4 linked regions of the Alligator mississippiensis genome follow. The protein of the gene in region 1 interacts with the protein of each later gene in a pairwise test. Links are inferred from orthologs where the notes say so. Each region holds a gene or a part of one and is shown in the gene's direction. Other genes may lie near its edges. The genes, in order: TLE5, MLX, L3MBTL2 and SOX5.

Region 1 (7,290 bases):
GACAAGGCACAGTCGGTGCCACAAGACCTCAGCCCTCTAGATTGTGCTCTTTAGAAATAAATATGGCAACGGCCTGGTCCCTTCACTGCAGCCCTGGGAGCTTTGCTGGAATCAGAAAAGGCACTGGTTTTCTGAGACAATGCATCAAGCGTCTGAAATGGGTAAGAGCTCTTCCCCCCCTCCACACACACACCCATGCACACACTCTTTGTATTGTGCTTGTTATTCTTGGCCTGCGTCCCTGAGTCACAGGAGGGACGCAAAGAACCTGATCCTGCTGACGTGAAGGCACATGCTTAGTTCTGCATGCCTGAGGACATGCTAGGAAATCGGTGGCACAACTCCCCTTGCAAAGGTGGAACCACAGTATGCCTCTGGATTGGAATTTCCCGGTGTAGTTTGGATCTAGGATCTTGGCACAGTTTCGATCTAGGATCTTGGCGTAGCTTGGACCTAGGGTCTTGGCACAGTTTGGTCCTAGGGTCTTGGTGCAGTTTGGACCTAAGGTCCTGGCGCAGTTTGAATCTAGGGTCTTGGCGCAGTTTGGATCTAGGGTCTTGGTGCAGCTTGGACCTAAGGTCCTGGCGCAGTTTGAATCTAGGGTCTTGGCATAGCTTGGACCTAGGATCTTGGTGCAGTTTGGATCTAGGGTCTTGGTGTAGCTTGGACCTAAGGTCCTGGCACAGTTTGAATCTAGGGCCTTGGCCTGGTCCCGGCAGAGGGGCAGAGACCAAGTGTTAGCAAAAGCAGCAGCCAGCGCTCATCCTGTGCCCATCTCTCACCTGTGTAACACATCCCGAGCTACCTGGGGTGCCGTGGTTTCTTGCTGTGCTGTATTTCAAGGCCACTCACAACTTCCATTCAATGGTGGGGACAGAATTCGGCACTCAAAATACCCAACTGTACTTTTACCCTGTATCATCTACTGCACTCAACATCTATTTTTAATGCCAGGCCAGGTTTAGTTTCTCCTTCATTTCCCAGCGGTACCAGGGCTCTGCCTAGAACACGAATTCTCTGGAGGATTCAGGTAGATGCAGGAGCCGGTCCAACACCCTCCAAACTGTCGGAGAACCCCTCTTGCTTCCAGGGCAGTAAATAGGTGGTGGGGACTGGTCAGGAAGGTAGGTGGGGACTCAGCTTCGAAGTGAGCTGGAACCCCTTGATCTCCAGTCAAAGGCTCGGCCGTGAAGCTCTGCCTTCATCCAGGGAACGTTTCCATGCAAGCCACTGCCTTTGTCGACGAATCTTCAAGGCAAGCGTGGGTGTTGGCTTTCATTCCACTGTTTCCAACCTGAGTGAATGGCTGTGTCCTTGCCCTGGTACAGCTGCGTACCTTCCCCACGTGGGCTCCGGATGGGTTCTGTTACGTGAAACAAGCCTTGGTAATTTCTCTGTTACCACGGGGCGGTCATTCGTCTCTCTGAATCCGCCGTCAGCGATTACGCTGCATTCAGCTTGACCCTGACATTCCCGTTCTGTTCATCTCCGGCCAGCAACCTGAGCCAAAGGCCTCATGGAAGACGTGCGTCTCGGCCCCGTCTGCCCACGGATTCAGGGAGTCTCTCCTGCTCGTGCCAAGCACAACGCCCAGTTGTTATTGTGCGGGTGACACTGCAACACTCACAGAGGCATGTGGGGGGGTCAAAAGATGATGGTGTCTGGCTGTGGACTCTCCATCCTTGGAGGTTTTTAAGACCCAGCTAGACAAAGCCTTGACTGGGATGATGTAGTTGGGGCTGGTCCTGCTTGGAGCAGGGGGTTAGGCTAGATGTGACCTCCTGAGCTCCCTTCTCACCCTCATTTTTTATGATGCTGCATGTCCTGCAAGCTTTGCCGCCGCCTGGCCCTGCCTGTCTGTCTGTAGGTACTCAGGTTGCAAATATTTTTATTTTTGCAAAAATCTAGTTGGTTTTATCACATCTACCATGAGTTTTGATTCCTTCTGCCTGTCTGTCTGCATTTTTAACTGGGCATCCTTCGGTTGTTTCCCCACCTCCAGCCCTGCAAACAGTCAGCCTTTTGCAAACCCTAACCCAGCCCTCACTTCTGCCCATGCCTCTATTCCATATATCACAAGGATCTGGCCTCTCATTAGTATATGCCAATTGCTTTAATACCCAACATCAGGATCAGCAGTCTCATCTGCCACCGGATGTCTTGGAAAGAAATAAGGTGCATTTCCCAGTTGACTTCCTGGCCTGGATCGCAGCCTGGTAGGCATCCCGCAGCTTGGCGACATGGGGCGATGGCGCTAGGCGCTGCCCTCGAGCCCTCTCCAGTCACATACAAGCGCAGGGTGCTTCACCCTCAGGCCGGTCGGTCGTAGCTCTGGATGGTTGGGAAGTGCTACGGCTCCCTACTCCCAATCCCTCCTGGGTTCAGCTTGAAGGATTGAGGACTCCTGCCCCTCCGAGATACCAGGATTCTCCGCGCCAAGGGCACCGTCACTGGACTGTTTTTGGGCACCGATCTGAGACCACGCATTGAGCTTCACCAGGCGCCACGTGACCTTTTGCTGCCTTCCCCAGGCCCGCTGCTTCCCCGGCCTTCTCGGACACAGAACAGCGTCCTTGAGTCAAAGTCAGGGGAAGTGAAACCCCCGCCCAAACGGCACGTGCTGCTCCTGCGGCGGACGGCATGAGAAAGCCAGCCTGGCAACACTGCCTAATGGGGGAGGATGGCTCTGAGCTGCCGCGGGGACCCAGCTAGCAGCGGGTAGAGTTTAAGCCAAAGACTCCCTTTCCACCCAGCACCACGTGCTGCAGAAGCGACACCCCTTGTTGGACAAGACCAGTCTTTACTCCCTGCCCCAGTCGCCTCCTCTGGGTCCAGGCTACAGAAGGTGACAGCCCTGCCACCACTCTTCATCTCCTATTATGGCCCATGGGAAGCGGCCAGGATCCAAGCCCTCGGACCCACGTCCGATCCCTGCTCTAGCCTTTCACCCAGAGACAAGGTGCCCTCATAGCTCCCCCGATCTTGTCTTCCCCGCTCTAGGCCAAGCCGCACGGCAGGACCACATGGCACTGCTGCCAGCTAGCAGGGCCCCCACGCGGGCCAGATACCGGCGGGCCACACACGGGCAAGGAGGCCCTCGAGGGCAAGCTCCAGCGATGGGGGCAAGAGATGCCCGACGGTACCCAGTAAATAGGGGGCTGCTCTACCCCTTGCAGTGTGCACAGAGGAGGGGGCCGTGCGGTCCCCCTGCCTGCCCTGTGGCCCGTGTCATGTCAGGGCTGCTGACGGGCTTGTCTGGGGTGGTTTGGAGAGGGCTGATCCCTGACCCTCCCTACCCTCGAGGAATCTCTCTAGGATTGAGGAGTCTCTTTAGGATTGAGGAGACTCCCTTGGACGGAAGAGTCTCCTTGGCATGGAGGAATCTCGCTAGGACGGAGGAGTTTCTTTAGGATGGAGGAGTCTCCCTAGGATCCAGAAGTCTCTTTAGGACCTAGGAGTGTCTGTAGGATCAAGGAGTCTCCGTAGGATCCAGAAGTCTCTTTAGGACCTAGGAGTGTCTGTAGGATCAAGGAGTCTCCCTAGGATCCAGAAGTCTCTTTAGGATCTAGGAGACTCGGTAGGATTGAGGAATCTCCTTAGGACCTAGGAGTCTCTTTAGGATCGAGGAATCTCCCTAGGATCCAGGAGCGTCTTTAGGATCCAGGAGTCTTGTTAGGATCTACAAGACTTCTTAGGACTGAGGAGTCTCCCTAGGAGCCTCTTTAGGATCTGGGAATCTCCCTAGGATTGAGAAGTCTCTTTAGGATCAAGGTGTCTCTTTAGGATTGAGGAGTCTCCTTAGGATCGAGGAAACTCCTTAGGATCTAGGAGACTCCCCAGGACGGAGGAGTCTCCTTGGCATGGAGGAGTCTCTTTAGGATGGACGAGCCTCCCTAGGATCCAGGAGTGTCTTTAGGATCAAGGAGTCTCGTTAGGATCTAGGAGACTGCCTAGGACGGCGGCGCGGTGCGGGGCGGCCGTGGGGCAGGCGCATCCCCCGCGCCAGGCGCTGGCCCGGAGGAGGCCCCAGGGCCGAGCCGAGCCGAGCAGGGCCAGGGCCGGGCCCGGCAGGCGGTGCTGATCAGCCGCAGGACAGGAGCCCGCAGCCGCCATTAGACAATAGGAGCGGCCGGGAGCGGGAGCGGCAGCGGGAGCAGGGCCGGGGCCGGGGCCGAGCGCGGGGCCGCGGCTGCGCCGGGGGAAGCGGCCGGGTGCGCCGCTGCGGAGCGGAGCGGGGCGGGACAAAGGCGCGGCGGAGCCGGCTGCAGCTGCCTGGTCCCGGCCCACGGAGCCGCGCGGGGACCCGGATCGCGGCCGCAGCCTGACATGATGTTTCCACAAAGCCGCCACTCGGTACCGGGGGGCACGGATCGGGGGGGTGCACGGATTGCGGGGTGCATGCGGGTTGGAGGGGGGGTGCATGGGGCGGGGAGGGGGGTGCGTGGAGCAGGCCGGCCGGCCGGCCCCGCTGCAAAGCCTGGCCGGGCCCGGGATCGCGGCGGGGCCGGGCGCGGGTTGGGGGGGGGGGGGGGTTGCACCCCGGCTGCCCCGCTCCCCGCGCCCCCTCCCCGGCCGGGCAGGAGCGGTGTTGCCCTAGCCCCCCTCTTCCTCCTCCTCCTCGCCCCGGCTCTGCCTGGCGTTCCTCGCTGGGGGAAACGCTGTATTTCCGGGCTGGGAGGCCAGGGCCGGGCCTGGGGAACGGGTGCAGGCGGCGCCGGCACAGCGCGGCCCGGTGCCTCAGTTTCCCCACCCGTCGTGGGGGGTGCGGCGGTCTGGGGAGGCCGCCGCTGACCTTGACTGTGTCCCCTCGCTCCCCACCTGCAGCCGGGGGGGTCGATGCCAGCACGTCTCGCAGCCGGAGCCCCCTCGGGTGCTGCCGAAGGGGCCGTTCGGCAGCTGGGGGTGGGGGGGCACCCGCTTGCAAACCCCCACCTGCACCCGGGGCAGGCGAGGGCGCAGGGATCCAGGCTGCGAGGCTCTGCCCCCCCACCCAGCGCTTTCTCCTTGTCGTTCAAGGGCTCTTCTCACCTGCCACAGCAGCTGAAGTTCACGACGTCCGACTCCTGCGACCGGATCAAGGATGAGTTCCAGCTCCTGCAGGCGCAGTATCACAGGTACGGCAGCCGAGGCCGGCCTGGCGGGCACTGCGGTCGGGTGGTGTTCGCGACAGGGTCTGCCAGGCCTAGCCCCCCCCTACCCCGGGGAGCTGGCTGCATGTTGCCTCGGGGAGGGCCCCCCTCTCTTCTTGCCATGACTGGTGCTCTCAGATGCCGGAGGAAGGGGCTTGGGTTCGGGAGCCGGCGGCCTGTCTTTCGCTAGCTTTAGCGTCAGAGCAGGGCTCGGGGTGCCCCCCTCGGAGGTGTTGCCATGCAAAGAGTGTCAGGTAGAGAAACTGTTGGACAGACTCGGCAGGAATAAAAGCAGGATCCCTGCAATGTCTCCCCGCTTGGCTCTGCCTGCGGTCTCCGGGGTATTGATCCCATCGGTGGGGACGGTTCTGCACGCACAGGTAATCCCTGAGCAAGAGAGTGGGCAACATGCGCTGCCCCACCCCAGCTTGCATTTGAGGGCCTGAGAGCAGGGATTGCCAGGGCTCAAGAGATTCCCCAGCTGGAATGAGAAGCAATGAGCCCAAGTTAAAAGATATCCCAGGTGACCCTGTAGCTAACTGGAGATGAAAGCATTAAATCTCCCCTTCGCTGGGCCAGGACGGGGAGATTAGACCAGCCCCTTGTGAATCTCTGCTTAGTTTCACATGCCTTTCTCAGGGCTGCAGTGTTTTGGCTGCAGACGCTGGGAGGAAATGCTCCTCTCCAAACCCTTCCAGAGCCATCACTATCTGCGTCTTTTTTTGGGGTATTGAAATCTAAAACGCCGGGCTTCAATTTGCCAGGCGAGAGTACCCTTAATTATTAGGCCTGGCTTATTTCATGCCCTCCGATACGACCTCCCATAGCTGCCCATCCGTCGCCGACGTTCCCCGGGTCCTCCGTGTCTCGGCCTGCTTCCTGCTGGATGCCAGGAGCGCGGGATCCTGCCCGCAGGGCCCAGCGGCTGAGGTGTGTGGCGGCCCGAGGTCGCTCATCGGGAAGGCCGACTTTCCAGCGTGCCTCTGCTCTGAAGCCGTGCCAGCTGCGGGGCCCGGGAGCGCTAGCAACATATCCGCAGTCACCGTCTTTCAGCAGGAGACATTTGCTGGGTTTAATCCGCTGGAAGAGAAACGGGCTGTGTGCGAGCAAAGCTGGTTCTCGCTGGAAATCCAACCCCCCCCCAGCACATGATGGCTGAGCTCCCGACTGCCAAAAATCACCGGGTTTATTACATTTAAATAGAGAAAAGTAGTATCTTCTGTTCTCTTTTTTTTAAGGATGTTTGAGTTCCTGTTGCTTTCCCACAGAGCACCACAAAACCTGTTGGGAGAGGTGGCCTTGCAGCTGTGCCGTAGTCCTCATTACGTGTCTGACTTATTAATAGCACAAGCATTTCTCAAATGTTGCAGTTGGACCCGTGTCATGGCCCTGTGACCCCTGACTCTACTTGGGTCCCAGCTGTGGGATCAGACCCAAGCCTTTCTCATAGACAAGAGGTCAAACTCTTCCTCCTTCCTGCCTTTTCTGTTCCAGAAGATGGAAGATTGGCTCTTGGGTAGCTTTTTGGAAGACCTCGTGGCTGGGTGGTCTGGTGTCATTAGCATCGTCTTAATTCTTCTATCTAGGAGCATCGGTTATGGACCGCGGGGCTAGGTGCTGTACAAAAAAGCCCCAAATTGTTTAGTCTTGCAATAGTATCTAGGGGTCAAGCCGTCGTGCTAGGTGCTGTACGAGCCCGCAGGAAACGGCTGGCGACGAGGGGAGTTGGTAGCAGGCCTGGCTCTCGGTGCTCCCGTCTCTCTCTGCTCTTTCAGCTTGAAGCTGGAATGCGATAAGCTGGCCAGCGAGAAATCGGAGATGCAGCGTCACTACGTCATGGTAAGGCCCTGCCCCGGTGGCGGGGGGCAACGGCGGGCCCCGTGCGATGGGATGTGGGGCAGGCTGGCGAAGCAGGATGCTGGCGCTTGGGTACATCTGATGACAGGTGTCCTTCCCTTCCCACCCCCTCCCCTGCGCCCAGCGGAAGCAAGACCTGTGTCGGGTTTGTTTGAAACGGGGCTTTCCAACTTCGCAGGTTGCAAACAGAGGTCATTTCTTCTCCCTCTTCCCCATGCTGTGTTGCTGGTTAGGGAGTGAGATCTGCACTGTGTCTCTTGGCAGGATCAGGACTCTCTGGATAGGGGATCCAGTGCTGACTGGC
Region 2 (7,659 bases), on another chromosome or scaffold:
TGGAGCAGAAAGAGATTGGAAGGTTGTGGAAATAAGGGACTTTCTTCCCATATCCTCCTACTGGTGAATGTCTCTAACCCAGTCCCTTTATCACTACATACTACTCAGAAGAAGCTTATTTTTCAGAGTCATTTGCCCCCAGCAGGACCTATTCCTTACCCAAATCCTTCCTGCATGCCTAGCCTCAGTTCAGCCCATTCCTAATATTCCAGAAACCTTTCCAAGTGCAACCTCTTCTACCCTTCCCACTCTCTTGGGATAACAAGAGTATTAACTTACTGCGTATAAGATTTATCACTACTGACATCACCAGTGGTTGTGACATCATAGACAACCTTCCATTGCCATGGCGCAGTTGAAAAGCACTCTGTGTTCACGGACAGCAGGACAGCATTTACTCTCCAGACTTGAGAGTGTACAGTAGCTGTTGTAAATCTCCCTCTCTGTGATGTCCATGCAGACTCCTTGTTTGATCTTCATGTTTCCCTCCTGGCCAGGCAGCAAGCTAGGTATATACTTCCACCTTCCTCTGATGGAAATAACATGATTTTCTCTGTATTTTCTAAACTTTGACAAACTGACTAAAACTGGAGCCCAGGTAGGAGTTTCCTCAGACACTGGAACAGAAAGATGGGACATCAGCTGGTCCAGGGGTTGGATGCCTTTGAGAAAATGTAAATCCTGGTCTCAGTTTAGTGGCTTAGACTCATCCCAAGCAGCAGATAGGATTGATGGACAAGACGCTGACTGTGACAAGGCAGCAGGCCAGCTACTTGGGAAACCAAAGAGAAGGGAATAAAACTTGGTCCAGTTTAATAAAAAGACTTGGTGTTTCACAGGATCCACAACAGGGAAATGATGAAAAAGGCCAATCCCCAAGATATCTCACCTGTACTCTGTATTTTTGGAGGGGCAGAGAATTGTTATTGTTTTGCCTGCATGCCAAGCTCTCTTGGCCTCTTTATGGACTTGAATCAAATGAAAGTGAACTCACTCAGTTCAAGCAGCAGTTCTTCCTTTCAAGGGAAGGACTGGAGGTCACATCTTGAACCTATCTAATTGAGCTCGAAGTGAGAAAGGCTAAGTTAGGCCATGAGGATATAAAAGATGCCAGATAGAAGAGAAGGAGGTTGACAAAAATGCAAGACAAGACAGAGGCATAGGAGGAAGGGAGTGGAGAGGACAAATCAAAAAAAGCCTAAGAAAAGTAGGGACAGTAGTAAGAGATTATCTAACATAGTAGATAATTAAAAGAACTGAGTAGACAAGATGAGTGGCAGAGAAAAAAGATGATCCAGGAGGTATGAGATAGGAAAGAAGAGAGAGCCTGAGAGAGAGCAAGGGAGGATGAAGGGAGAGAGACAAAAAACGAGGTTTGGATGTGTAGGGATTGAGAAATGTGCTGTAATGGGTCTTGGGTCCTCCACGATCCACTGGCTGGAAAATTGGCTCCGGGGTCGGACCCAGAGGGTAGTAATTGATGGAAGTCACTCATCGTGGTGTCCTGTGACCAGTGGGGTCCCCCAGGGCTCTGTCCTTGGACCCATACTGTTCAACATCTTCATTAATGATGTGGACACTGGAGTCAGAAGCGGACTGGCCAAGTTCACCGATGACACCAAACTTTGGGGCAAAGCATCCACACCAGAAGACAGGCGGGTGATCCAGGCTGACCTGGACAGGCTCAGCAAGTGGGCGGACGAGAATCTGATGGTGTTCAACACTGATAAATGCAAGGTTCTCCACCTTGGGAAGAAAAACCCGCAGCATCCTTATAGGCTTGGCAGTGCTATGTTGGCTAGCACTATGGAAGAAAGAGACTTGGGGGTCATCATTGACCACAAGATGAACATGAGCCTGCAATGCGATGCTGCGGCTAGTAAAGCAACCAAAACGCTGGCTTGCATCCATAGATGCTTCTCAAGCAAATCCCAGGACGTCATTCGCTCCTCGTACTCGGCCTTAGTGAGGCCGCAGCTGGAGTACTGCGTCCAGTTTTGGGCTCCACAATTCAAAAAGGATATGGAGAAGCTTGAGAGAGTCCAGAGAAGAGCCACGCGCATGAGCAGAGGTCAGGGAAGCAGACCCTACGATGACAGGCTGAGAGCCCTGGGGCTCTTTAGCCTGGAAAAGCGCAGGCTCAGGGGTGATCTGATGGCCACCTATAAGTTTATCAGGGATGACCACCAGTATCTGGGGGAACGTTTGTTCACCAGAGCGCCCCAAGGGATGACGAGGTCGAATGGTCACAAACTACTACAAGACCATTTCAGGCTGGACATAAGGAAGAATTTCTTTGCTGTCCGAGCCCCCAAGGTCTGGAACAGCCTGCCACCGGAGGTGGTTCAAGCGCCTTCATTGAACACCAAGACGAAACTGGATGCTTATCTTGCTGGGATCCTGTGACCCCTGCTGACTTCCTGCCCTTTGGGCAGGGGGCTGAACTCGATGATCTTCCAAGGTCCCTTCCAGCCCTAATGCCTATGAAATCTATGAAATCTATGGCACAGCAGATCATGGCTGTCCAATTGGCAGCCCATGGCCCACTGCTGCCTGGCTGCTGCTTCTTCCATCCCTCCAGCTGCAATAGCAGTAAATTCTCTGTGCTCCCCTTTCTTCTTCCAGTTGCCAGAGCCATGGCAATTAACACTAGCACTGCTTCTCTGCTGCCAAGTTTCTGGACCCATGGGGAGCCCCATGGGCCAGATGATACAGCTCTATAAGCTGGATCTTGCCATGTGAAGAAATCCTCCTCAGTCTGTCTCACCTCTGTATTAGGACAGCCCAGGCCACTCTGTTTTTTCCTGTTTTGGTCAACCTGATCAACTGCCTAGTTTTGGTCAACCTAGTCACCTAGGTGCCTGGGCTGTAAAAATTCCTAGGGAGGGGGAAGCTCGCTCTTCCTTTGTCCTGAAGCGGGCATGTGGGGAAGAAGACAGGCAGTCATTCTGGGAACACAGACACAGAAGGATGTGCCTCCATGAGAGACAGACTCTCTGGAAGATTTGTAAGTAGAAATCTGGAATTTGGCTATTTAGAACTAAGTTTTCAGCTGTATGTTAAAAGGGCCACAAGCCCATATTTGAAAGGCTCAATTGATTCTGTTTTACTCAAGGCATTTTCTTTTAATATTCCTTTGTCCTGTACCCCTACCCCATTCTCTCCATCTGTGGTCAATAAAGCTATCTGTTACAGCTCACCTAGCTGTGTACTCTTGAGGGAAGAGGGGAGAGACAAGCCTTTTTGTTCTCTTTGCTCGGCTGAGCTGAGGGGAGTTTGGCTCTTTATTAACTAACACGGTCCTACCTGAGATTATCCTAGGAAGCTTCAGGCTATAAGGAGCACCCAGAGATATTACCAAGGGACCAAGCACCCCCAAAGCTGTCTTTATCTGTGTATCCCGGGCTGCAAAGAGCCTTAACAGAGACCAGTGCCCAGGTGGTGGCAGCGTTACCCCAGGCTTGTGGGTGTGCTCCAGGAAAGGGGATGGCCAGACATGGAGACTCCCAAAGCATGGTTTTGGGCCTGGCACAGTGAGGTGGGTGGCTTAGCATAGTAGCACCCCTTACTGTCCTGCCACAGCCCATAGGCCACTGAGCACCAGTGCTCTAAAGAGATAAACCAGACCAAGGGAGAGGGGCTCTTGGCTAGTGCGGGCTGATCTGCTGGAGCCTGCCCATGTGGGGCAGCCCTTGCAAGTGCAGCCGTACAGCTCTGTGCAGTCTGGTGTCCTGAGCCAACACTTGCGGTGTGGGTGCAAGCCAACTAAGCACTGTGACATCGCTCCCTCATACAGCACTGGCACGGTGTCACACGCCTGTTTCACAGAGCCATGCGTCTGCTGCCGGTGGCTCCCACGGAGTTCCCTGTGTAATCGAGCAAATCCGGGCTGAAGGAGATGAGGCTGCAGGACAGCAGGGGAAGGCGCGAAGGGGCCACGTGACAGGACAGCATGGGCAAGCCTAGAAATTTGCAAAGGGGAGCGTGGGCCGCCAAGCGCCTCATCCCCCGGGATCCGATTTAAAAAGAACCCCCAATTTTCGGTTAAAAAAAGGAACCCCAAATCCACATTTTTCCGTGATTTAAATGAAATAACAGATAGATAGATAGATAAACTATCTCTATCTATCTATCTATATCAGTGGTGTTTCATTTAAATCACGGAAAAATGTGAATTTGGGGTTCCTTTTTTTTACCCGAAAGTTGGGGATTATTTTTAAATCGGAGGAAACCAGGATCCCTGCTCCTCACATAACACAGCACAAGCTTTATGCAGCTAAAGAGACGCTGGAAGCGCTGGGCTCTGCCAGGGGCCTAGGGCCGGAGGGCTCCGTTTAAGATGCATGCAAGGCTTCATTGGGGTGAGGTAAAGCAAGCTGCGGGGCGGGAGATGGGAGCTGCGGAGCCGGAGAGCAGCTGAGGGGCAGCGGCAGGGCAGAGCGGCCCCTCAGCTGAGCCCGTCACCCGCAGCCAGACTACAACTCCCATCGGCCTCCGCGGCCGGGAGAGGCAGCTCCCGGAAGTGCCGCCCCACGAGGCCAGCGGATGCTGTGATTGGTTGGCGCCTCGGGAATCATATGACGAGGCAGCGGGAAGATGGCGGAGCCACTAGGCGCCGCGGCCGAGGACCCGTGGGGAAAAGTGAGTCTCGGGGGCTGGACGGTGGCCGGGATGGGACGAAAAGCGGGTGGGAGCTCGGGTGCTGGAGCGGGATCCCGCTGTCCCCGCTCCGGGCCCCCGCCACGAGGCGGCGCGGCCGGGCCCGGGGACCCGCAGGCAGGCGCCGCGGGGCCGCCTCAGCACGGGGGTTGAGGGTGCTGGAGACAGCGAGCCACCTCCCAGCCCTGGGGAGCGTCGTGCACGGCCGTCTGCCTAAACAGCAAATAATCATATAATCATATGAAGCAAATAACAGGGGGGAATTGTCGGCCAGTCATCTCGGGGCAGACACAACTGCCCAGTGCCCAGCCCCTCCCATTAGTCTCCGAGGGCATAAGTGTGCATCCCTGTCAAGACGGTACTGCAGGTTCCCAGAATAAACTGCAGTAAAACAAGGACGTGCCCAGTGTGCTGCCCAGCAGCACGGGCATAGCAAATTGCGCAGCAGCCTTGTTTGAGAGAGCAGCTGTTCTGCAGAGTGGGCTGTGGGGAGTCGACAGGCCATGGGCTACTTCTGTTGCTGACACACAGTAGCGTGATAGTTGATTGCGCAAAAGAGGAAACTGCCTTACTCACTGGCTGGCTTTTTTTCTCTTCTCTTCCCTTTTGCTTACACTGTCATCTGGCAACACAGCAGGTGGACTGTGTGTACAGCGACAATGGACTGGAGGCTCGTAAGTAGCTCTGTGCATTCCTCTTTCAAATATTGTCGGGTCAACTCTGCTGTTGCCAGACAAAAGAGCATAGATGAAACAGGCAGGGCACGCCAGTTTCCTGCATCATTTTAACGCTGGAAACTTAGCGCAAAGAATAATATGTGCGGAATGTAGGTTTTGTAAATATAAGCGGTGCATGGATTAAAACTTTAAAGGAGGGTTTAAATTAAGGGAAAGGGACGACTTGAACTTGTAAAGAATGATAAATGGATGTTTTTGTCTAGCTCTGGGACAGCGGTGCAAGCCAAAACGTGTAAGTAACAACTGGAACGTAGGGAGAAGGAAGCTTGAGATCTGCTGTCACTGCAGTTTGAGTGATCACACCCAGGCTGAGTGGTGCTGGGTGGGAAGTTATTTTTAAAACACGCAGTCTCTAATCTGATGATGCCTCGCCATATTCTCAGCTTTTTAAAGCAGAACTAATATCTCCCTTGTATCAGAGGCATGCAGAGTACGGGCCAGTTACCTGCTGAATAAGCTTCCCTGCTTCCGTGTTTTGTCCATGTTAAAGATTACAGTGAATCCCATTGGGGTTTAGCTGGTTCCTTCACAGCTCCTGAAAAATCTTTGCTGTCTACTTGTTGCTAAATCCACAAAACACCTACAACAGCAAACAGATACTAATTCTTATAGCTGGCTACCCTGTGCTTTACCCACCTGAGCTGAGCACCACACTGTATCCGTTTGGAACATCCCCTGGGATTTGAGATCCTTGCTCAGCTCACTGCTTCATGCATGACCAGTATTTTCTCTTCCAGCACTCTTTGTGGAAAGCAGTAGAAAGGGAAGCATAGTATCACGAGCGAACAGCATTGGCTCCACTAGTGCCTCCTCTGTCCCCAATACAGGTAAGGGCCATGGTGTCCCTTCTCCCTGTCTGTAGGTTAGTCCCTCCCTCAACTTGTCCAGCACTTAAGATGCTTTTGGTGCTCTTTCTCACTTATTTCTAACATGTGTTCTTCTCTGGCAAAAGCTGCTCACATGCAATCGCAGTAGCTTCCCTTGCCAGCTTGAGTATATATGTCTTTCATTCAGCAAAGGAGGATGGTGGGGAGCACCAGGAAGGTGTCGCAGTTTCCAACGAGACAGTTTGATAAGGCACTCCTGACTTGGGGCAAGGAGAAGAGTTAGTGTGAACAAATGGCCTGGCTAACGGAAATACCATCAAGAGAGTACTGAGCACCTGCCCTCTGAAAGAAAAAGACCTTGGACTCCAGCTTCCTGTTTTAATGCCCAAGAGATCTTCTCATGAGAATCCTGCCTACATTAGCCAGGGGCTTTGGCAAAAATGTGTTGCCCAGCTGCCTACTCACACCATGCTCTGGTGTAGGCAGCTGCCAGCAGGCCTGCAATGGCTCTGGGAGGTTCATCTTTGCCTTGTTTGTGCCCTGTTTGCAGCTTGTCTACCCAGTCAGTAATTGTGTCTGGGTCTGGACCAGAGTGCATAAAATGATTCCAGGAAGAGCATGCTCCCCCATTACCTCTGCACGTGCAGCTGCATGTCTGCCTCTGCTTCCTAGGCTCCAAAAGCGCCTGAGTTCTCTTTGACACAGTGACTCTTCTTCCGTTGCAGATGATGAAGACAGCGATTATCACCAAGAAGCCTATAAAGAGTCATACAAAGACCGGCGCAGGCGTGCACACACCCAGGCAGAGCAGAAGAGAAGGGATGCCATCAAGGTAACATCAGAGCAGCTATCAGACTGTTCTCTTGGATGGGAATACAGTTGGTCCTTTCCTTTTGTTACATACCTATAACGCGGGCATCCTGTGGTATCAGCATTCTTATTTCTCCCACATCAGGACACCCATATCCTTTTAGTTATCACAGTCACTGTGCCCCTAAACATTTGGCTTACTGGGGGCAGGTTATCAGCCCTGAGTAACTGCATCCTAGATGCCATATGAAGGAACTGGAGAGACAGCTGGGACTTTGGCACCTTATGAGACCACCTACTTGGCCACTGCCCTTCTGTCATGTGGTTTAATCTAAAAATGCCTGTAACATCATCTCTTCCTCTTGAACAGAAAGGCTACGATGACTTGCAGGCTATTGTGCCTACATGCCAGCAGCAAGATTTCTCCCTTGGCTCCCAGAAGCTGAGCAAAGCCATTGTCTTGCAGAAAAGTGAGTTGGGGGCAGAAAAGGGGCACATTCCTACCTAACCACTGCATCACTTTGCATCTATGCTGGGAATTCATGCTCCTGCAGCCACTGAGTGGGACACCAGCCATCCAGAACTAGACTGCAGTGAGGCAAGGGATGTCCCCACTTGCATTATTG
Region 3 (8,107 bases), on another chromosome or scaffold:
CACCCCAGGGTACTCAAGGAGCTGGCTAGCAGCATAGCCCAGCCTCTGGCATGGATCTTTGAAAACTCCTGGTGCTCTGGTGAAGTGCTCAAAGACTGGAAGAAGGCCGATGTGGTGCCTATCTTCAAGAAAGGGAGGAAAGTGGATCTGGCTAACTACAGGCCCATCAGCTTGACCTCTATTCCAGGGAAGGTCTTAGAAAAGTTTATTAAAGAGGCCGTCCTTAATGGACTGGCCAACACCAACATCCTGAGGGATAGCCAGCATGGGTTTGTTGTGGATAGGTCTTGCTTGACCAATCTCATTTCCTTCTACAACCAGGTGACCTATCACTTGGACAAGGGAGAAGAGATTGCTGTCCTATATCTTGACTTCAAAAAAGCCTTTGATCTGGCATCCCATGATCACCTCTTGGTGAAACTGGCCAATTGTGGCCTTGGGTCCACCACAATCTGCTGGCTGGGAAATTGGCTCCGTGGTCAGACCCAGAGGGTGGTGGTTGACGGAAGTCAATCGTCATGATGCCCTGTGACCAGTGGGGATCCCCCAAGGCTCTGTCCTTGGACCCATATTGTTCAACATCTTCATTTAATGATGTGGACATTGGAGTCAGAAGCGGACTGGCCAAGTTTGCCGATGATGCCAAACTTTGGGGCAAAGTATCCACACCTGAAGACAGGAGGGCGATCCAGGCTGACCTGGACAGGCTCAGCAAATGGGTGGACGAGAACCTGATGGTGTTTAACATTGAAAAAATGCAAGGTTCTTCACCTTGGGAGGAAAAACCTGCAGCATCCTTATAGGCTCGGCAGTGAGACTTGGGGGTCATGATTGACCACAAGATGAACATAAGGCTTCAATGTGATGCTGCGGCTAGTAAAGCGACCAAAACGCTGGCTTGTATCCATAGATGCTTCTCAAGCAAATCCTGGGATGTCATTCTCCCCTTATATTCAGCCTTGGTGAGGCCGCAGCTGGAGTACTGTGTCCAGTTTTGGGCTCCACAATTCAAACAGGATGTGAAGAAGCTTGAGAGAGTGCATAGGAAAGCCACGTGCATGATGAGAGGTCAGGAAAACAGACCTTACGATGACAGGCTGAGAGGTATGGGGCTCTTTAGCCTGGAAAAGTGGAGGCTCGGGGGTAATCTGATGGCCACCTATAAGTTTATCAGGGGTGACCACCAGTATCTGGGGGAAAGTTTGTTCACCAGAGCGCCCCAAGGGATGACGAGGTCAAACGGTTATAAACTACTGCAAGACCGTTTCAGGCTGGACATAAGGAAGAATTTCTTTACTGTCTGAGCCCCCAAGGTCTGGACTAGCCTGCCATCGGAAGTGGTTCAAACACTTACATTGAACACCTTCAAGAGAAATTTGGATTCTTATCTTGCTGGGATCCTATGACCTCAGCTGACTTCCTGCCCCTGGGCAGGGGGCTGGACTCGATTGATCTTCCGAGGTCCCTTCCAGCCCTAATGTCTATGAAATCTATGGGGCGGAAAAAAACCTCCAAGCAAAATAAATTGAATCTCTAGCAAGGCAAGGCAGAGGTCCAAAGGAGTACCTACAATACAAAGAACAGATGGTGGGAACACCAGGCAAAGGAGATTTAACATCTTGCTGGTATCCACAAGATACGTGGTTATTTTTAATGTGACCCAAAGCTATCTACAGTCTGAGCACTCAAGGACCAAACCCTTTGAGACCTAAGATTGGAAGAGACCTGATCAAGGAATGGGGAGCCATCAGTGCCCATTGGAAGGAGCATTTTGAAGACCTCCTCAATTAAGACACTGTTGTTGATGAGAGGTGTTCTCCACTCCATCCCACAACACCCAGTCAAAGAGTATCTTGGAATCCCTCCAACCCTTGATGAGGTGAGGAAATTCATCAAGCAGGCCACTGGAGTTGATAGAATCCCTGCTGAAATCTTCAAGCAGGGGTTGGGGGACAGGGGCAGAGAGGCGCTCACGTCACAGCTCCATGCCTTCCTCACCATTCCAAATCTTTAAGATGAAGTGCCAGGTGACCTTAGGACTACCATGATCATGACAAGAAAGGTGACAGGTCTGACTATGGAAACTACAGAGGGATCACCTTGCTATCCACCACAGGAAAGCTTATTGCAAGAACCCTCCTGAACTGTTTCCTTCCACTTGATGAAGAGCTCCTCCTGGAATCTCAGTGTGGATTTAGGGCATTAAAAAGCACAACTGATATGATCTTCACAGCTCACCAGCTGCAGGAAAAATGCTGGGAACAACATAAACCTATCTACATGGCCTTCTTTGACCTCACAAAAGCCTTCAGCTCTGTCAACCAAGAAGTGCTATGGAGGATCCTTCTGAGATCCCACTGAAATTCATCACCCTTCTTTGCCCGCTACATGAGTGGTTTTCAGTAACGGATCTATCACTGCTTGAGGTTAAGATGGGAGTTAAGCAAGGCTGCATCATCACTCCAACACTGTTCTTGATTTATTCCTTGTCATGATGCTACATCTGACTACCACCAAGCTTCCAGCCAGAGTAGAGCTAAACTACCAAATGGATGGTAAACTGTTTTTAATCCCAGACAACTCTGAGCCAAAACCAAGACCAATCGAGCTTAATCCTCAAGCTGCAGCATGCTGCTGATGCTATAGTCTGCGCTCTCTCGGAAGCAGACCTTCAGGCAATTGTCAACATCATTACAGAGGCATACAAGAAAGTGGGACTGAAGCTTAGCATTCAAAAGACTAAGGTCGTCCAACAACAAGCTCTTAATAGTAATTCAGATTCATGGTGAAACTCTTGAGAATGTTGAGTATTTCCTGTACCCCAGAAGCATTTTCATGTCAACCTCCTGTATTTCTTGTCACAGGAGGTTGACATGAAAGAAATCCAACATCACCTCAAATGTGCAAATGCAGCCTTTGGATGCACTTAAGGAAACAGGCGTGCAAAGACTGTGTCATCAGATCCAAAACCAAGCTCATGGTTTATCAATCAGTTATGATCCCCACCTTTTTTGTACAGAGCTGAGACTTGTGTGGACAATGTAGAGGAGACTCCTCAAGTCATTGGAGAAATATAATCAATGCTGCCTGCAGAAGATCCTTCAAATCCAGTGGGAAGATGGACCGCACCAACATTTTCTGGCATCCTCTCGCAAGCAAATACTATGAGTACTGAAGTGATGATCATCTGACACAAACTTTGTTGGGCCAGCCACATAATTTGGATGTCTGACACTTAATTCCCAAAGCAAGTTTTATTCTCTGAGCTCAGTCAAGGCATATGCTCAAAAGGAGGGCAGAGAAAGTGCTTGAAGGATGTCCTCAAGGCCAACTTGGAAAAAATGCAACATTAGCAGCAGCTCATGGGGAAACTATTGCCTAGGACCTCCCCAAATGGAGGAAGAGTTTGCTGCAAGAATCTCAATACTTTGAAACCTTATGACAACAGGAGATGGAAAAGTGGGAGTCGCAGAAACAGTGCATCACAGACAATCAAGAATCTGGAGCCACCTACCCCATGCAGAAACACATGCCTGAGTTGTGACAGTCTGTTGATCCTGCATTGGCCATCTTCAGACCCACAGATGAGATATTAATGGAAGACAGCTGTCCTTGACTGCGATGGATCGCTGAAGAAGGGGACATGGCTCTGGCCCTCTACCTAGGAGCCCTTAAGCATATATAGATATTTCATGAAAATGGGATGTTCGCTGCTGTGGTTCCCCTGCTTTACCTGGGGCTGGTTAGGGTGTTGGGTCAGGACTGACAGTAGTCTTGTGTATATGGAGTTTAGATTTTGGATCGTATGGGATAGTTGGATACAGATGATCCTGCCTCAGGCAAGGGGTTGGCCTAAATGATCTCTGGAGGTCCCTTCTTCTGTATGTGTGTACATCTGTGTGTGTGTGCGTCTAAAATAGCTGCATCTTAGTTGGGATATAAGGCATACCCTTCTTGAATTCAAATCACTCATTCCTTCCTACATAGCTTTCTTCTGTCCTGTCATAGTATCTGATGGAGTGAGCTTGATTTCATGAAAGCTCTGAGTAGAAAAGGGGTAGGCCTTGCATCTTTGCATATAAAGTACACCTCTGCTCTGCCTTTGGCCTGACTTGAGACTAAAGATGACTCTCTGCTCAAGGAGTTAACTTGATGTCTTCCTGCAGGCTGCAGTTAGCTGCTGCTGCCTCCTACTCCTAGCCATAGTGCTGGCCTGTGCAGCACTAACCTCTTAAAGAAAAGAAAAGGGTGTTTTTTTTGGGGGGGGGCACAGAAGAGAAAACAGGTAAGCTGCCCCACGGGGCCTCTCACACTGGTGGCTTTGCCTCAGGCCCTTCGTCTCTCCAGCTTTGCTGAACACCACCACGGCTGCAGGACTGGGCTTGGCTCATTTCTCAACCCACCAGTCACAACCCAAAAGCGGGTTGCAAGAAAGGGTTGCAAACAGACTTTAAAAACGGAGTCTCCTTCAAAGGAGAAAAAAACATGGGACACCATGGATTTTTTTCCCTTGCAGGCTGGCAGAGATCCAGCCAGCAAGGGGCTACTTGCCCCCCTCCCCAGCCACCCTACACAGTGGGGGGGCAGCGGGTCCAGAGTGAGGGGCGCTGGGTCGGGCCTGGCCATGCATGTTTACAAGTGGGTCCTGGTACAAAGCCGGCTGAGAACCACTGCTCCGGGGCGCCAGGGCCCTCATCCCATGTGAGGGGAAGGGAGGGGAGGGGGGCTTCATGGTCTGCAGGCTTCTAAGGGCTGGAGGTGCTGCGCTCCCTAGCGCCGCCCCGTGCTCGCACCCCGCCTCACAGCTCAAGCCCGCACCTTGCAGCCTGGAGCAGTGGCCGACCGCGCAGGCCCCGCAAGAGCTGGAGGGGGCGGGGCCAGAGCCCGGAAGCTAGCAGCCTGCGGCACGGGGCAGCCTTGACGCTCTCCCCCACGCCGCGCAGGGAAGCAAACTACGAGTCCCAGGATGTTGTGCGGCCAGACTGAGCGTTCCTTCCGCTGTCGGCGTTTGCAAAGCAATCTGCCTGGCGATTGGCGGGCGCGCGGGGGCCGGCGGCCAACCAGCTGCCCCGATGTATTGGGGACAGTAAAGCTAAGGGGGCCCGAGGTCCCGCCATGTGAGTGCAGCGGGCCGGGCCTGGCAGGGTGGGGAGCGCTCGGGGCGCAGGATCCCGGCGATGGCGGCCACGGAGCAGGAGCAGGGCGAAGTAAGGGGCGGCCACGGGGCCGGGGCTGGGGATGGGCTCGGGCCCCCTTGGAAGGAGCGCGGGACTCCCCGGGGGGCGGGGCGTGGAGCCCTGCGTCACAATCGCTGCCGCGGAGATTCCACGGTCCCGTGGGGGGGCGGAGCGTGGAGCCCTGCGTCACAATGCCACGGCGGAACCCGCCCCCCCGGGGTTCTTCCCCGACAGGCCCAGCGAGGCCCTTGGGAGCCCTGGGCTTCCCCCGCGTCTGGGAGGTCCTGGCTGCGGGGGGCAGGAGCCCTCTCCTGGGGCTGCGCAGGACGAGCCTTGGGTGCAAACAACTGGCACTAGGAGATGGATCCGTGCACGGGGCCCCTGCTCCCCTTTACATGTGTGACACAGATGATGGGCAAACTGCACAATAAATGTGGTGCAAAGTAACACTTATGCCATCAAAATGGCCATCCTATAAGACCAGCCACTTACTGGGTCAGACATCTTGCCCAGGGTCCTGCATACTGTATCTTTGCCCAGTCTCTTGGGTCCATGTGGGCACCAACATGTGGATAAGGGTAGCAGGGAGGTCCTGGGACCTAAACTTAGGCAGCTAGGTAAGAGATTGAAGTCCAGGACCTCTGAAAAGCTTCTGGTGCCATGCCTGGGGCCAGATAGGCAGGCAGAGCTCCAGTCTCCTGATGTGAAAGAGCCAACCTGCTCCCAGGGTAGTGCTTGACAGCTCCATAGCTGGTTTCTATCCAGCTTTCATCTGAACACACAGCAGGCCCTGTGTTCTGTGGCTGTTCTGCTCTTGCTCCTCTGGGCGGCAGAAAGATGCCCGGGCTCAATGACCAGCGCTAAAGAAAATCTCATGCCACTGCAAGCACCGCACAGGAGAGAGATCTCGTGGGTGCAGAGCAGTAGGGCTGCTGGCAGTGCTGACTGGTGGTGATGTTTCCTTGCTGGCTGCTGCTGCTGTGAGCTCCTTTCTCCCTGTGACTGCATGTCTGTGCTTCTGCTCTTCTCTCCCTTGCCCCTCTCATTGCTGAGCCTCAGTGTCTGTGCATGAGCTCTTGGCAACAGCATATCTCCTAACTTCCTTAATCTGTGTCCAAAGCACAGCTAATCACTCTTCCTTCTCCCCTCCATCTTAAAGACAGGCCTTTTGTGCATCCCCTGATTTGCTGTCCCTGTACTCTTGCATCTCTTTGCTGTATGGATATAGCTGTACAAATAGATCATGATGAAATCACAGGGGGAAAAGGACTTTGACTGATACTTATTTAATACTTGAAAATGAAAGTTGTCTGGTTTTCCAGTGCAGCTCCTGAGCCAAAGTCAGCCCAGGGAATGTGATGGTAATAGAGTGTACAGCTTTTACTTTGTTAGAAAATGCACCTCCTTGCTTCAAGGCCATTTTTTGATCCACTGTGTCCCAAGCTGTATTGGGGAGGGTTAAATAGCATGGAGAGCAGCAGCTAGTTACTGAAATAGATCATTTGTGCTGACAGCTCCTCTCCCTGCTGGGCCACCCTGATGACAGCACAAAAAATGTTTTCTAGTGGGTGTGAAGAAGACCAACCACTGGACAGGAAAGTGAGTGAAAAGGGGTGGTCTCTCTCCTTCCCTATGAATTCATACTGACCCCTCCCCACTCAGGATGGTTTCAGGCATTCTGGCTTCTTGCTCCTGGGTCACAGAATCATAGAAAAGTAAGGCTGGATGGGACCTCTGAAGGTCTTCTAGTCCAACCCCCTGCCCTATCCAAACCATCTGGTACAAATCCTTGTCTAACCTGTTACTAGAAGTACACAACCCTGTTGCACAACCACAATGCACAGCACCTTAACCTGCCACAGGTAGCGCAGGGGAACAAGGGTGGTCCAGTGTCCTGTTGCAAGGGTTGTTAACATGCTCAAGAGATCCTAGGAAGAGGGCCACGCGCCTGCTACAGAGGAAGGCCAGAACTCCCCCAGCCCATGCCAGTCAGGCCATGGGATAAAATTCCTTCCTGATCCCAAATGTGATCATTGGTCTGGCCTGGTGTGGAGGGGCAAGACCCTCTAGTGAGGAACCTCCAACTATTTATTAGTCCCAGTAGGAGCATTGGTACACCCAAGTCAAAATCCCAAGCCTTGGCTGCAGCCACTTCCTTATGCTTGTGAGGAAGGCAAAAAGAAAATTCCCTGAACAGGTGCAGTAGCAACAGAAGTGGGGAAATAAATTCCTTCCTGGCTTCATGCAGTAACCAGTGAAGCCCAGAAACATGGGAAATAACCATAACGAGCATAGGCATAGCTATTTCTAGATTGTTCCTGATTCATGCTTATCCAAACTCTTGAAAACCTCCAATGATGGAGATCCCACAATTCCCTAGATAGTCTATTTTACTGCCTCAGTGCTTTAACAATGAAGTAATTCTTCCTGATATTTAATCTAAACCTACTTTGCTGCAGCTATAAGCCATTGGTCTGCCTCCTGCTCTCTGCTTCCAGTGTCTTTCCTGTGGTTGCCCTTCTGTGACTATGAATCTTCTTTTCGTCTGGGAGAGATGTGTATGAGGGGTAAAACATTAAGGAAATGTGGAGCTGGTGGGAATTCTTCCTACCAGGGAAGCTAGTGCTGGCTCAAGGGTCTGGTCCTGGTATCCTGTGATTGCCACAGCCAGTGACTTGCTCCTGAGGGCCAGGCTTTACTGCATAAGGCAGGGATGGGGAACGTCCGGCCTGTGGGCTGGATCCAATCAGCCAGGGACTCCATTTCCCAGCTGCCCCTGCCCAGATGGCTTGTACCGGTCTTTATGGAGACCTCTCACGCCAGCAGCGTATGCGGCAGACAGCACAGGGGGCTGCTCCATTGCTGCCAGGAACGTGGGATGGGGGCAGCTTGCTGCGGAGCTGCGATCTGTAGCCTGCTGCAAGGAGCTG
Region 4 (7,283 bases), on another chromosome or scaffold:
TTGGCTCATGGGCCCCAATTCTGCAATGTGACATGAACTATGACTGCTGAAATCACTGGATGCCGTGCAGGCATGGGGATTTACCCAAATTGTTTTCCCGCCACCCTCGAAGTACTGAGAGTTTGAATGAAATTGGATGTACATTTCTAACCAACTTCACCAAACCAAAAAATAATAATAAAAAAAAGCTTATGGTAGTGATTGTTTGAAATCTTTTATCCAAATACCCTGGTGTTTGGCAGCTCAGATAAAACTGAAACCTTATTAAAACCAATTCTTCTTTGGGTTTTGAAAACTAAAGTCCATCCAAGTTTTGCAAAAACAGCACTTGGAACAAATGGTATAATTTTTGGTCTGCTGTTTTCTACCCTTCAGTAGGTAAGGCACAATGAAAATCATATTTGACACTTATCTTGTTGTCTGGGGGAGGAATGTTATCCTCTCTCCCAGCTGTATCTATGCTACCTAGTACTCCAGTGTATCTGCTAATGTTATGTACACTTATAAACATTTGGGAGGAGATGGAAATCAGGACACATCTTTTAGGTTCTACTGAAAATAATTTGACTGACTAAACATTTGAAAGCACCCAGCAAAAAAATGGTAACTTGTTTTAACAAAAAAGTAAAATGAGACTTCCTACACAAAAAAAGATGAGGCAGTTGGTGTTCATGATGACATCACTAGTTTGTAAAACTAGAGGCATGGAGGCCTGTGAGACAAAATTACCACATTAATAAAGATAGGATCAAATGCAGCTGGCATCAGGCCAATGGGGCTTTTTGTAACTCAATTTTTTCCACTGAACGTCTTCATACTACTGCAGAAGTGGAAAAAAACACATCCTAGAGAGCGTAATGCAATCTTTACACCTGTTGTTTTTTGGATTCTAAATAAAATGCATTGAGACCCTTCTTTGGCTTTTTCTTTAAATCCTGCCCCTGACAATAATCACTGAATTTCCTTTCTTGCATTCAAATGCTGCTCCGTTGAATGGGCCCACCCAGTGTCATCACCAAGCAAGGAGCTGAGGTGCTTATAGGGAAAATAGGTTCCATCATGTGAGGCTAAAAGGCGGCTGAAAGGGCTGAGCAGTCTAAAGAACATTCAGTCAGAGTAACCGGAAGAGGCCTGACCTAAGGCCCATCATTTATGGCTTTGATTACAGAAAAGGGAGTTGAGCAGCATTGTGTGTCTAGGTTCAGTCCGGCACTGCCCTATGCTGTATGTAGTTATTTTATAGAATTGCACAGTGGGACTAAAATACAACCATTTAGTAATGGGTACCATTATACTCCTACTTTGTAATGGTGTAAATTGTTGCAGCAAAAGCAGGACAATGGTGAATCAGGTCTTCTGTCCATGTCCTTCCCCCACCTGTGCACACTTCCTACTGGGACTTCCTACCTTACAGGTATGGAGAATGCAAGTAAAAAGAGTGAGAAAGCTCTGTCTCTGGCTGTTTTGTTGTTTTTTTCCCTTCTGTTTCCCCACCCCCGAGAGTTTGAAGTCTCATTTATGGGTATTATCCATGCTGCTAATGCTTTCTGTCCTTTTGCATCAAAGAGTAAAAATCATTTAGGGATGCGCACACAGAAAGAGATCATATACAATCAGGCATCCAAGCAGAAAAAAATGATTGCGATGCTCATGAATTGTAAAGGCTGACTTGTTAAGTCCCTGAGAAAGCAGGGAAATTACTGGACTCGTCCCGGTATCAAATATTGGTAGGAGATAAGCCTTCTGTAGCCGAGATTAATAATAACCGAAGTTACTCTTCTTTGAACGATTTGGCTGGGGGCGGGGGGGAGTTCTGCATTTCCCACTGGCTGTCACAAATCAAGTGACACTCGAAGCTGGCCTGCTCAGGCAGTTTATAAAAGCACGTGCTCACTAATCAATTAAAAACAAAAGCCCCTTGCAAGTAAACACAAGAGCAAGCCACAACCCCCCAGCTCTGCTTGCACAGAGCCGACCTACTTGAGTAATAAAAAAGGACGCGGATCGCCTCTTTTCCCCTCCCGCAGCTCCAGGGTGTAGATCTGAAGATGTCTCTCTCTGTCTCCCCCCCGCCCCGTGAATGCATCGGGAGTGGCGTGCGCGGGCGGCCAGAAGTCGGCTTGTCTGCGAAGTGGGGCTTAGCCCAGCCCGAAAGGGAGAGCGGAGCGGGGGAAATCATCCACACGCGCAGCAAGCGCACGCCCCGCCGCCGAGCCAGCCGCCAGCCTCAATTGTAGTCCTGCTGGGATTAAGAGTAAACAGTATGTGGTCATTGATCTCGGGGTCGTGGTGTTGCACTCTGGGAAAGGCTGGGGGTGCCTGGAGACATGGCTGCGCTCAACTGAGGCGCTTCTGAAGAAAGATGACAGAAAGAAGGGGGTGGGGGGAGGGCATTCACAGGGGGGGAGAGACTAGGAGAGCTAGGGATCAGAGGGTGCCCCACCCCCCCGGCCCGCCACCGTCACCGCACAGGCGCCCGGCCGGGCCCCTGGAGAGCGGACAGGCACAGGGGTGTGTGTGTGTGTGTGAGAGAGAGAGAGAGAGTGTTTTGGGGGAGAAGTGACAGGAGGAGATTCTCTCCTTTCCTCGGGAGGGCGGGATGAGAGAGACTTTGGGGGCATAGGTGACAGGTTGAGATTGTCCCCCTTTGCGTGCGCGTTTGTGAGAGAGTTTGGGAAGTAAGGTGACAGGTAGAGATTGTCCCCTTTGCTTGCGTGGAGGGTGTGTGTGAGACGGAGGGAGAGAGTGTGCGTTTGGGGGGAGAGATGGCACGTAAAGATTGTCCCTTTTGCTTGGGGGTGTGTGCGTGTGAGAGAGAGAGAGAGAGAGTTTGGGGGGAGAGGTGACAGGTAAAGATTGTTCCCTTTGTTTGGGTGGAGTGTGTGTGTTTTAGCCTGCTCTGGGTGGAAGAAAAACAAATCCGCTGCTGTTTCCAGTACATGAAAGTCAGCGTAGAGGAGATTGCTGGGACCTGCTCGTGGGTTGCGCTGTGCTCCAAGTCTGGGCACACTTTCATCACCCTGCATTGCCGAAGGGCTCCCGCCTGCTGATGTAACTTTTGGGCAGGACTTCTCTGTGTGCCGAGGGAAGCCGATGGGCTCTTTCTCTCCCTGGAGCAAACCTATTAGCGTGGATGAGCCCCACGGTGACTCTCAGATGCTTTTAAAACCGCCACCTTCTTAAAGAGTGCGTGGCTGTTTCAGCTCCGATTCATTCCCCCCCCTCCCCCCTTTCCCGCCGGCGCCTATTGCACTGGTTTCTCCCCTGCTTGTGAGAGTGGGGAGGCGAAAGAACAATAAAAGAAGCTCAGACTACTTCACTTACTAGCAGCTTCCAAAAAATAAGGGGGGGGGGGGAGAAGTCGGGATCAGGAAAGTCTCCAGCCCAGGGATAAGGAAGATTAAGAAGGGAAGCTGAAGGCTCCCCAGAAGCAGGAGGCGGCCGTGCTCTCCTGTCCTGGGGGTCACTCCTCGCGCCGTGCGCCTTTCCAGCGCGCTGACAGGGGCTCGCCTGGCCAGGGGCTCCTGTGGACACCCCCCCCCCCCCGAACACTACTAGAACCACGGCCAATACGCGCACACACCACCAGCACCCCCAGCAACAACCAACACACACACACCCCAGCACACACCCCCAACACATGCACCAGCACTCACACCAGCACGTACACATGCAACACACACACCCCCTCCACCCCCAGCAACAACACACACGGTCCACCAGCACACACCCCACCACCCCCAGCACTCCCCCCCGCATCAACAACATACACACACCACCAACACCCCGCAGCAACAGCACCCCCCAACTCCCGGCTGTTTGCTCGCAGCGAGGAAAGGCGGGGGCCGGGCCGTCCCGGGACTCGGCCGCCCGTGGCGCGCAGTGCGGTGCGGTGCGGCGCGAAGTTGCGGGGCGCGCGGGGGGTAGAGCCGCAGCCCGGCACTGGCTTGTCCGCCCGGCCCAGCGCGGCCGCCCGCAATGGGCAGAGCCGGCTCGCAGCGGGGCGGGCGAGGCGGGGCGGCGCGAGGGGGGCTCCGGGAAGGAGGTCAGGGTTTGTTTAGGAGAGATCAGAAGGGAGCTGAAGTGCGAGCTCCCCGCTCCCAGGGTGTCGGAGGTGGCTGGAGACTGCACAGAAAAGCTTCTCCTCCCCCATTGTTCCCACTGTCTCTCCCTCTCTTTCTGTGGGGTTTTTTTTGCCTTTTGTTATTTGCACTCGCATTGTGGTGTTTGTCTCTGAAGCCGCCTCATGACCAGCGCAGGGATTTCACCTCGTCCTTGAGGCACAGGCGCGCACGCAGAGCGGGAGAAGGGGCCGAGCGGCAGCCCGCGCCCCCTCTGCCCAGCCCCGAGCATCCTCCCGCCTCCCTCTCGGGCCAGGACACGCTCCGCACGGCGGGTAGGTGCGCGGCCGGCTCCGGGCCAACTTCGGGGGCAGGGCCGGGGGCCCCGGGCGGCTGCGGGGGGCTGGCAAAGTTTGGAGCAACTTGTCCCGCCTTTTCCCCCGGCCCCGATCCCCCCCTCGGATCCGTCCCAGCGGCGCGCTGCAGGGCGAGGAGCAGAGCCGGTCCCCGAGCTGGGCTGGGCTGGGTTGGGCTGGGCTGCGGGCCCCGGAGACAAGAGGTGCGGAAGGGAAGAGAAGGGAAGGGGGGGGGGAAGAAACCAGCCCCTCTACCAATCAGTGCGCGGAGCCCTCCCCCAGCCCGACTCTGCCTGGTCCAGGCACTGATGGCCGGAAAGTTAAGGGACTTGACTCTAGAGGGGGAGGTGATGAGCAGCCCCCGGGGAGAGCGCCAATAGTCACCCGCGGGTAAGAAGTGTGGGAATCCTCCCCTACGAGGGACCTGCTTCCTTAGTACTTAGAAATAAGGGCCCTCAGCCTGGCTGTGCTATGCTTTGCTTTTTTGGTTTAACCCCCACCAGCAGCCCAAGGCAACTGAGGCATGTGGGAGGCATGCAGGCGGTCAGCACATCCATCAGCAGAAAAGAAGAAAGGGGCTTGAGCAGGATTTTAGGCAAGCGGGGGGGGGGGGCAACCACTGAGGAGCTAGATGCCAAGCAGATTGGAGGTCCTAGGTTGTTTCTGATGTTAGGCAAACCAAATGTTAGCCTTAGACGCTTTTGAAAATTTGGGGATGGATTTTTAGAAGGATGCCTCCCCCTTGCTTTCAAGGAATATGTTCAGTTTTTTGCTTTATTCACATCCAGGGAAGACACCTTATTCCAGGTGCAGAGCAACAGAACACAGCGGCCTGGTTCTTCCTCCTGTGTTAAACTCGGCTCGCAGCCCACTACTTAGCTAAAGTCAGCAGCTGAGGTTTAAAAATCAGATTCTTCTGAGCCAGGGGCATTTCTTGGGCTTTGTACAGCAAGTGATAGCCAAGTATTGTAGCCCCAGAAACTTGCTTGATGAAGGATACTGTATCTGTCATGATTTCTGTAGCTCCTTAATCCTTCCCAGTGGTAGAAAATATCATTGCCTCAAAGGTAGATCCTTCTTCCTGTAAACTGTGCTGTTTACAAATATGGAACTAGGATTGAAGGGGTAAAGTTTTGTGTTTTGAGATCCAGCAAGGTTACAGCCACAATGTTTGTTTTGTAAAGTTCTTCTGTGCTCATAAAAGGGAAAGGCTGGCATCATTTTGTTCAATGGATAGCATGTATATTACTACATAATTTGACAATGAAAACCTGGCTATTATGCATGGAAATCTTATATCAGAGATTTTTTGTTGTTGCATTTAAACTCACTTGGTTGAGCGCTACACTGTGTGCGACACAGAACTTGAAAGCCACAAACATCTCTTGTAAACAAACTGACATTTGAGATGGATTGGCTATTTCAAATTAACTCCATTCAACTACATGTATGTGCAGATGCATTCAGTTTAGTCTAGCATAAGTTTTTATAAATGTTGGAAGCTAATACATGCCTTTGGAAAGCAAATATAAGCATATACATATTCCCTATATAATGTTATGCTTCTGTTTACAGAAGTTTTCCTAGGCCATACTTGTTCTGCTGTCATGATCTTGTAGTAGCAGGCAAGAATCACTCAGTAATTCTTTAGATGTTTACTAGTAAACACTGAAATGGTAAGGCATATGTCTGAGATGCATACATTTAGGATAATATGCTGGTGCCTAACCAGCATATTATCCTATATTATCCTATATTATCCTATATATATATATATATATATTATCCTATATATTATCCTATATTACTGCATCTTCGTATTTTGTATGACTTGCCCCGCTCGTTTAGGCTGATCAGCATTGTTAAGCTGCCAGAGATTTAGCTCATATTGATAATTTCTTAATGTTCAGGATTGGGAAACAGTTCTTCCCAGATAGTTATCCTAAAGTTCTACAATTAGGCCTGAAATAAGTTTACAAGTAACTTTAAATACTAGTATGGAAAGTATGAAAGAAACAAAGCACCAATAAGTGTGGGTTGGTGGTGCTGGCAGTATCCTAATGCAGTATGTGTAAGAGGAGCTTTGCCTCTGCCGTAGTGCTCATACCTATATAAAATCCTGTGATGTAGATTTATGGATAAATTGAAAAACAGCATTGTGAAACATGTTCTAAGATTCAAGAGAAAGTAATGAGTGATCCTTCCAAAAAATACAGCAGAATGCTACAATATTGCCAAAACACTGCAGTGATGTTGGTGGAAGCCATGATATTCTTTGACCATTATAAATAGATTAGTATTATTATAAGAATTCTTTTCTCATTAGCAGTGAAGTATGTTTTCCTCTCTTCTACATACAAACAATTTGGTGTTCATTGAACGGGCCAGGAAATACTCCCACTGATGGCAATGGGAGCCATGCCTGCAAAAGTACTATATAACTGGGCCTCAGGCTGTTGGAGTGACCTTTTACAATGTGTAGGTTTTGTTTAATATACTATAAACTCTCCTTTTGTAATTTTGGTTTTATTTCCTTCCACTTTTTTCTTTCTCTCTCGAAGACATTAGAGATTGTTGTATGTGGTAATTTTCAGATCCATATAGGTTTACACAAGGGTTTGGTTCAAGGTTGAACCAAAGGTTAATTCAGATTCACGGTACTGAAATATTGCAAGTTGTTGGAGACTTCTACCTCTTTTGGGTCTGTACCAGTTCCAGAAAAGTTTCTTTCATATTAGTTAATAGACCAAGTTCTAAGATCAAGAAATTTGAATCCAAACCTGTCTCCCCTCTTGAATTTCAGAATGGAAGAGAGACCTCAGGACTCAGACTTAATGATCTGGTCTGGGAAAATCTTTATGATGTT

The links.
Region 2: the proteins of TLE5 (region 1) and MLX interact in binary tests that used the Homo sapiens proteins (3 or more experiments, as listed by UniProt). The two-hybrid records come from large-scale screens. The link is inferred for Alligator mississippiensis from reciprocal best matches to the Homo sapiens genes TLE5 and MLX.
Region 3: the proteins of TLE5 (region 1) and L3MBTL2 interact in binary tests that used the Homo sapiens proteins (3 or more experiments, as listed by UniProt). The two-hybrid records come from large-scale screens. The link is inferred for Alligator mississippiensis from reciprocal best matches to the Homo sapiens genes TLE5 and L3MBTL2.
Region 4: the proteins of TLE5 (region 1) and SOX5 interact in binary tests that used the Homo sapiens proteins (3 or more experiments, as listed by UniProt). The two-hybrid records come from large-scale screens. The link is inferred for Alligator mississippiensis from reciprocal best matches to the Homo sapiens genes TLE5 and SOX5.

The regions. Positions count from the first base shown.
Region 1 is NC_081839.1:3,804,727-3,812,016, reverse strand, and holds the start of TLE5 (TLE family member 5), read left to right. Parts: upstream 1-4,034; 5' UTR 4,035-4,326; coding exon 4,327-4,353; intron 4,354-5,016; coding exon 5,017-5,114; intron 5,115-6,904; coding exon 6,905-6,968; intron 6,969-7,290. UniProt on the Homo sapiens protein: Transcriptional corepressor. Acts as a dominant repressor towards other family members. Inhibits NF-kappa-B-regulated gene expression. May be required for the initiation and maintenance of the differentiated state.
Region 2 is NC_081827.1:152,003,970-152,011,628, forward strand, and holds the start of MLX (max-like protein X), read left to right. Parts: upstream 1-4,549; 5' UTR 4,550-4,596; coding exon 4,597-4,641; intron 4,642-5,293; coding exon 5,294-5,333; intron 5,334-6,133; coding exon 6,134-6,223; intron 6,224-6,948; coding exon 6,949-7,055; intron 7,056-7,403; coding exon 7,404-7,503; intron 7,504-7,659. UniProt on the Homo sapiens protein: Transcription regulator. Forms a sequence-specific DNA-binding protein complex with MAD1, MAD4, MNT, WBSCR14 and MLXIP which recognizes the core sequence 5'-CACGTG-3'. The TCFL4-MAD1, TCFL4-MAD4, TCFL4-WBSCR14 complexes are transcriptional repressors.
Region 3 is NC_081827.1:97,502,489-97,510,595, reverse strand, and holds the start of L3MBTL2 (lethal(3)malignant brain tumor-like protein 2), read left to right. Parts: upstream 1-5,076; 5' UTR 5,077-5,177; coding exon of another isoform or gene 5,178-5,207; intron 5,208-6,691; 5' UTR 6,692-6,716; coding exon 6,717-6,776; intron 6,777-8,107. UniProt on the Homo sapiens protein: Putative Polycomb group (PcG) protein. PcG proteins maintain the transcriptionally repressive state of genes, probably via a modification of chromatin, rendering it heritably changed in its expressibility.
Region 4 is NC_081827.1:124,856,677-124,863,959, forward strand, and holds the start of SOX5 (transcription factor SOX-5), read left to right. Parts: upstream 1-4,058; 5' UTR 4,059-4,396; intron 4,397-7,283.